Lonchura striata: one gene and its partner. The protein of the gene in region 2 interacts with the protein of the main gene of each other region in a pairwise test. Links are inferred from orthologs where the notes say so. Each region holds a gene or a part of one and is shown on either strand. Other genes may lie near its edges.

Evidence for each region.
Region 1: the proteins of CTBP2 (region 2) and TSHZ3 interact in binary tests that used the Homo sapiens proteins (3 or more experiments, as listed by UniProt). The two-hybrid records come from large-scale screens. The link is inferred for Lonchura striata from reciprocal best matches to the Homo sapiens genes CTBP2 and TSHZ3.

The regions. Positions count from the first base shown.
Region 1 is NC_134615.1:8,374,903-8,378,644, reverse strand, and holds the start of TSHZ3 (teashirt homolog 3), read right to left. Parts: upstream 2,630-3,742; 5' UTR 2,490-2,629; intron 1,097-2,489; exon of another isoform or gene 930-1,096; 5' UTR 698-929; coding exon 658-697; intron 1-657. UniProt on the Homo sapiens protein: Transcriptional regulator involved in developmental processes. Functions in association with APBB1, SET and HDAC factors as a transcriptional repressor, that inhibits the expression of CASP4.
Region 2 is NC_134609.1:29,531,013-29,534,754, reverse strand, and holds the start of CTBP2 (C-terminal-binding protein 2), read left to right. Parts: upstream 1-1,246; 5' UTR 1,247-1,367; intron 1,368-3,742. UniProt on the Homo sapiens protein: Corepressor targeting diverse transcription regulators. Functions in brown adipose tissue (BAT) differentiation. Isoform 2 probably acts as a scaffold for specialized synapses.

The sequences.
Region 1 (3,742 bases), on a different chromosome or scaffold from region 2:
AACACTGCAGAGCCTCCAAATCACTTTGTCCCTGCCACTTCATTCACAGCGTGCCATATTTTTGTACATATCCTCTCTCTCTTTTTTTTATAGGAAAGAAGACTTAAATAAAAATAATATTTTCCCTGGGTTTCACGTGTGAGGGAAGGGGATGTAGAAGAATGAAGACTACGAGAGAAACAAGCAAAGTAGGTGCCAAAGTACGGGCTGAAAATAGCCAAAATTCGCCTCCTGCTTCCCCCAGCCCCGGAGTGACACCGACCATACGAGCCCGGCCCGGGCAGTGCGTGCCCGCACACACCCGCCTGCCCCTCGCACAGGGTTACCCCCAGAACCGAGCCGGGCTGAGTTCGGAATAAATCAAAGTGGGCACCAAAAGTGGGGAACGGGCTTTCATGCGCCCCCCACCCCAAAGAAAAAAATAAACAAAATCCCCCCCACACCCCCAGCCCCGGCGCTGCGCCTCCAGCCCGGGAGCTGCTCGGCAGAGCCCCGGCAGCGGCGGGCAGCGGGGCAGGAGCGGGGCGCGGAGCGGCGGCGGAGCCCGCCGGGAGCCGGTTATGAAAGAGACCGAGGGAGGCGAGAGGAGAAGGCAGCGGCCGCGGAGGAAAGGGAAGGGAAGGGAAGGCAGGGAAGGAAGGGAAGCGGCTCTCGTACCTGCTGCGCGCCGGGGCGCTTGCTGCTTCCTCCTCGGCATGCTGGGCTGCTGCGGGCGCCGGCGGGGGGGGGCAGCCGGGGCGCGGGGGTGGGAAGAGTTGCCTCAGCCCCAGAGATCCGGTGAGCTGCTCCAGCCTCGGCGCGAGGGCTGGGTCGGGGATATATTTTTTGTTGCTGTGCATACACGATGCCGAGTAGGAGGAGGAGGCGGCGGCGGCGGAGGAGGAGGAGGCGGCACAGAGGAGAGGACAGCCCTGCTGCTGCTGCTGCTGCTGCTGGCAGAAGAGGGGGGAAGTTTGACAAATCGCCCCGGAGGAAGGAGGAGGGGAAGCCCCCCGAAGAGGTGTGCGGGCGGGAGGGCTGGGGAGAGCCCGCAGTCCCCCCCACCCCGCCCTGCGCCCCCGGTGCCTGGCCGGGCTGGGAGATCACGGCATAAAGACAGGGAATCTCTTTGCCGGAGCCGGCGGAGCCTCAGCCTGCGCTCTCCACTCCCGGCTCGGCGCTGGAGCGGCGGCGGCGGCGGCGGCGGCAACAGGCGAAGCTTGAAGGGAAACGAGATGATCGCGGTGTCACTCAAACTGCTCCGCCGAGGGGGAGCGGGGCACCGCCGCCGCCGCCCGCCCCGGGCCGCGCCTTCACTCAGCGCGCATCGCCCGCCGGACCGAGCACGGGGGCGGGCAGGGGTCTGCCCCGCCGGCCGGGGAGACCCCCTCGCCGCGCCCCCTCCACCACCCAACTTCGCCCGCCGCTGGCGCCGGTCTCCCGAGCCGCCCGCGGCGGCGGCGGAGGGCTGGCCGGGCAGGGACAGGCAGGGCAGCCCGCCGGGCTCCGCGCCGCTGCCCCGCTCCCCGCCGCAGCCCTTCCCTTTCCGCCCCCGCGCGCACCCGTTCCCCGCCGGAGCCCCCCGCAGCCATCGCCTCCCGCCGCGCCGGGGCACGGGATCCCCCCTTCCCCGCCCCCCCGGCGAGGAGGGCCCGGCCCGCCGCTCCATCCCGGCCGCCCCGCGCGGTGACAGCGGCGGCAGCGGCCCCGGCTCCCCGCCGCGCCCCGCAGCGCTGCCCGCCCCGGCCGCACTCACCGGCGCGCCGCCCGCCCGCCGGCACATCCAGCCCGCCGGCTCCCACCTGGCTGGCGCCGCGGCCGCCGCGCTCCGCTCCGCGCCTGCGGGCGGGCGGTGTCGGGGCCGCCCCGGCCGGCGGCCGCTATCGGCGGCGCCCCCGCCAGCGGAGCCGCTGCTCCCGCCCCGCGGGGCCAGAGCGGCGGGGAGCGGGCAGCGCCCGCGCCCCACGCACCCGGCTCTTCGGGAAGGAGCACTTTTGCCTCGTTTTCCCTGTTTTGGCGGTGGATTTTTTTTTTTTTTTCCTCTCTCTCTCTCTCTCTCTCTCTCAGTTTTGGATTTTTTTTTTTTTTAATTTTTTTTCTCGGTCCAAGTTCACTGCCGAGCCGCCGCGCTCAGTTCGGCGAGCGCCGGCGGATCGATGTGCTGCGGGTTTGATTGCGCATCCCTGGGCGGCGGGGCCGCGCGGCGCGGGGAGGGCCGGGGCGGCGGGGGGCGCGCGGGGCCCGGGCCGCTCCCGCCCCCGCTCCGCCCGCGCCGGGACCGCCAGCAGGCAAGGGAGACACGGGAGCAACCGCCAACAAAAAAAAAAAAAAAAAGAGAGAGAGAAAATGAAAGAAAGAAAGAAAGAACAGTAGCTTTTTTTTTTTTTAAAGTTCACGGGGAGGAATTAAAAAAAAAAAAAAAAAAAAAAGGCTGAGCTCACTTTTACGGTAAGATCAAAAAAAATTTCCACTCGCCCCCATTCTTCGAGATTTGGGATAATTCCAAATACCTGACTAAGTGCAGATGTTGTTGCGTCTTCACATCCTATAAAGCCGCCGTGCCGCTCTCGGGCTCTCGCTTCCCTTTCAAGTTGCAGGAAATTCAAACACTTTACATGACGGGTGGAGAAGGTTTGGGATTTTTTTTTTTTTTTTTGGATTATTATTGTTATGAGTTGATTTTTTTTTAAGCTGATCTTTAGGATGAAAAAAAATCGCAGTCGCCTAAAGTCCCCGGGAAATTGCTACTGTTGGGGGAAAACGAAACATTTCTTGAAAACAAGAAAATGGTGAGTTGTCAATTGCCGCTTCTGCTGCCAAACTCGCTCAGTTCCATCTCATTGATACTCGCTGGTTGCTCCTCACAGTTACAGTATCTGCTCACAGAAGGAGCGATCAGATCTGCTTAAGAGACGACACCGAGACGTTGCCCCCCCTCCCCAAAAAGCCCTGTGTGTGTGAGTGTGCGAGCGTGGGTGAGCCGTGCGGCAGGACGGGGCCGGGCGGCGGGCAGCCCCGGCGGGGCGGGCGGGCGGGCTCGCCGCCGCGGCGGTGCGTGCCGCTAGATCCGCCCTAACATCTGTCCGTCTCACCATTGGCGCATCCATCAGTGTCACCCTGGCTGCACATTGCAACGACAACACATCAGACACTACACAGACCGGGATTCGGTACAAATAACCAACATACTAAACAACTTAACCGGGGAGGAGGGGACCAGCCGCAGCATAAGTATTTACAAACGTTAGACAGCCTCGGGAAGCGGGGCTCGGCTGCGGTTAATAGCTCGTTCATTCTCTCTCCCTCCTCCCCCTCTAAGAAGGAAATAGAAAATCTAAATAATTCACGCCCCCCACCCCCCCGAAGGATGCTGCCGGCCAGGGGCAGGGACCGGGACCGGGGCGCTCCCCGCGCTCGGCCCGGCTGCGCTCCCGGCTCCGCGGGGCGATGGCTGCGGCAGGACCGCATCGAGCGCGGAGCCGCGAGAGGCGAGCCCCGGGCTGAGGTGCTGCTCGGCCCAGCCGGCCCGCGCTGCGCAACATGGAGGATTCCTCCGAGCTCTGGAGAGAGAGAGACTGAAACAAACTTTGGGATGCTCGGCCGGGAGCTTCGGCAGCCGAGAGACCCCGGAGCTCTGTTCCTGTTCGCCGCACGGAGTGCGGGGAAGGTCACTCTGCCACCAGGCGCTGGTAGAGCGCCCTGAAAACTACAGCAAAATTAAAATGACACGGCGCGTGTAGTCACTGCAGTCCTGTAAAGGAAA
Region 2 (3,742 bases):
TTTATTAGAGTGGAAAAGGAATGTACTGTTTCCCAGGCTGATTGAGAAGCACGGGATATATATATATATAATGCAGGACGCTTGATGATTATACAACAAAAAGATGGGATCACCACCTGCCCACATTCTTGTGATAAGCAGATGAAGAACGTCTGTCCGAACGCTAATTCCCAAATCTACGGGGGTAACACGGAGCACAAACACAGACGCGCCGAGCGCGCTCTCGTTCTCTCGCAGCCGGCCGAACGCCCGGCCGCGATCACCCGCGCTCACACCGACCGGGGGACGCGGCAGCCCCTCGGCCTGCGGGATGTCAAACCCCCGCTGCCCTTCATCCGCCGGCCTGCCGCGCCGCTCCGGCCGCGCCGCGGGGCCGGGCCGGGCCGGGCGCGCCGGGGGCCGGCGGCGGTGCCGGCGCTGCCGCGGGGCCGGGCCGGGCCGCTGAGCGCGGGTGGCCGAACAAAGGCGGCGGCGGCCGCTGCTGCTGCCGCCCTCCCCGCCCCTCCGCCCAGCGCAACAGGCGCCGCGCCCCGCGGAGCCCCTTCCCCGCCCCCGGAGCCCCGCCGAGCCCCTGCCCTGCCCCGCACGGTCCCGCTGCCGCTCCCCACCCCCGGCGCCTCCCCCGCCCCTTCCTCGCTGCGTCTGTTTGTACTTTGGCTGATCCACTAATCCCCCGAGAGAGCCTATTTGTAGTGAAGAGTATCTATAGGGGGCGAGGCTGGTCCATGTGGGTTTGTGTCATTGGTTTGTAAGGAGAGACCCCGCCTATTGCCAAAAAAAAAAAAAAAAAAAAAAAAAAAAAAAAAAAAAAAAGAGAGAGAAAAAGAAGAAGGGAGCGAAAAAAAAAAAAAAAACAAAAAAAAAACGAGGCAGTGAGAGGAGAGCCTCTACCTCTCCTCGCTCTCCGTTCACCCAGCGTGGCGAGGGGGAGCGGCTGCTCCGCCCAACGCCGCCCGGGCACTTTCTGGCTTAAAAAAAACCCCACAAAACACAAAAAAAAAACCAACCAAAAAAAAAAAAAAAAACCCAAACAAAAAAGGGGAAAAAAAAGCAGGAAAAAAAAGAGGAAGAAGGAAGGGGGGGGGGGAAGAGCGGCCCTCCCCCCCAAGTTGCAATTAGCATCCTCTCCACTGCTGCTGCGGGGCTCCGGTGCCCCCGTCCGCTCCCGGCGCGGCGGCGGGCGGAGCAGGAGAGCGGGGAAAAGGGGGGGTGGGGGGGAAGGATTAAGTTTTTTTTTTTTTTTTTTGTGCGGTGTGCGAGCGGGTGGCGTTTTTAAGGTGGATCTCCGGCAAGCAGAGCCCGGCGGTGGATGCGGGAAGGGATGCGGCGGTGAAGAGCGGCGCGGGGCTGGCGGCGGCCGGGAGCAGGTAAGGGAGCGGCGGCGGCTGCGCTTCCCGGCGAGAAGGACAAGGGAAAAGCGAGGACATCTTTGCTTTAGTCAACCTCACCGGCGAGGGGGACAGAGGAGAAGGAAAAAAAAAAAAAAAAAAACCGAGGAGGGGAGGGTAGGTGGAAATGTGATGGTGGAGGGAGGCGGCCGCGCAAGTTACGCGGGTGGGCGCGGAGCGGCGGGTGAAGTGGGAAATCTTTTGTTGTGCCGGGCCCCGCATTGTTTACTTAGTGCCGAGAGCCGCCGACAACATCTGCCGGGGGATTAACGGGGCGGCGGCGGCAGGAAAGTTTGGGCAAGGGGGGAACCCCGCGGTGCGGCGCGGCCGATGCTCCGGGGGACGCGGAGCAGCCGCCGTCTTGCGCTGCGCTTATAATTTATTTTTTTTTCTGGGGGGGGGGTGGAATAGTGTATTTAGTTATTGCCTTTTTTCTTTTTTAATCGTAATTTTAGGTAGATTACGGGGGGGGAATGGTTTCGGGTTTTTTTTAAATTTTAATTTTTTTAAAAATTATTTTATTACTGCTGAATAACCGCGCTCGCCGCTCAGTCACTTAGCAACTCTCCACGCTCCCAAGCCGCGGAGGTGCGCGGTGTCCGCGGGGCCGCGCCTCGCTCCTTCCCTCCCACCTCGTACCCCTCCGCCAGAACTCAGAATAATTTCCCCACTATTTATTCATTACGTGTATTCCCCCCCACCCCCCGATTTGACCATTTTAAACCCTACCCTGATATCACCAGAATGGAAAATCAGAGGGGGTGCGTGGATTTAGGCGCTGAGATTGTTCTTTTCACACCACTCCGCCCCACGATTAAAAAAAAACCCAACATTTCCCCCCCAAACTTGCAGGACTTGCTGAGGGGGAAAGAATAGCCTTTTGTCCTGCCGAGGGACGTGCCCCCAAGGTAAATCCTGGCTGGAGCTCAGCGCCTGGTACTTTGCCGGGTCCCAGGGCTCTGGCTGTGCTGGGGAGGAGGAAAGTAGGAGATGGAGATCTCAAAGTAGTAGAAGTAATTTCTTCTTTCAGCTGCACTCCTGCGCTGCCTTTGAATTGCCTGCAATGAATGTACGTAGCTCTAATTGAAGTACTTTAATCATTCACACTTGATTAAGTATACCGTGACCAGAGGAGAGGAATCCACGCGGCGCCCGGGAACGGGAGGGATGGGATGACATTTTAATCCTGTGTTTTAGAAAACATGAGTGGGGCAGGAAAAGAAGCGGTGACGGTTCTGTGTAACGGTCCCTTGTTTCCATACAGATGGTGCCTTTCCTTCGGGATGAAATCGCAGTTATTGCCGGTATTTGGGGAGGGGGGAGGAAGAAAAGGCACGTACTTCTAGGTTTGTTTAAGCAGAGTGAGGAAAATAATGATAGACGAGATGCCTGGTGACAAAATGCTTTTGTTCCTGTTTCCATCAGTGCGTAAGGGCGCCGACCTGCTTTAGCATTCTTTAAAGGTCTGTCTTTACCAAGGAAAATTGAAGATGGTCTCATTATAGGAGAGTGTGTTTGGAATACTATGAGGTATTTATGAATTCAGAGGTGATTGTTGGATCTCAGACATTTCAATTACGCATCCTCTAGTAAAAAAAAAAAAAAAAAATTATTTGTAGCGATGTGTTCTGTAATCTGTTACTTCCATAAAGCTGATTTGTGCTCGAGCTCCGTAGCTGGCTGAGGGAATGGGTCCGTCCACGGGGCTCGAATCTTAAACAAGGATTTCTGTTCTTTGCCTCACAAAACTTTCTGCTGCAGGGGCAGCCTGAAGTTCCCATAAAAGCGATTCTTTGGGAAACGTCAGCTATCGTCAGTATTTTCTGGAAAATCTGGCGTTGTGAATGCAGGGTGGTATTTTTAGAAAGGAGCTTTTTATTTTTGGAGGCGTTTGTGAAACCCACCTGTTAGCCATTAGGGGGGACAGAGGTTGGCTTTCATCGTTAGCAAACCCTGCGCATCTGGGGGCTGAGGGCTGTTCCTCACTTGATCCAAGCTCTCTCCAGTCATGGGCAATCAAAATATCTTTCCTTTTCAAAGTTACAACCAAGTGTTTCTGAAGCTGAACAGAAAATAAGGTGGTTCAGTCAGAGTGGTGGCACTCTCCTGTGTTCAGGAATACGGATTGCAGGAGCGTTTCACTCTTCCTTTCTCTCCTAGAATTTCAGAGTGAGATGCTTCCCTGGTCCAGGGTTGTATGGCCAATTTTATAGTGTACAAATCATAGATGATGTTTTCTTGCTGTCAGCTTTCTATCTTTTTAAGGTAGTTTTCCAGCCCATGTGGATCTGGGGGTTTGGCTGGCAGGGTGGCTCCAGAGCTCGATGCCCCCTGGAGCTGGCAGCTCCCTCTCC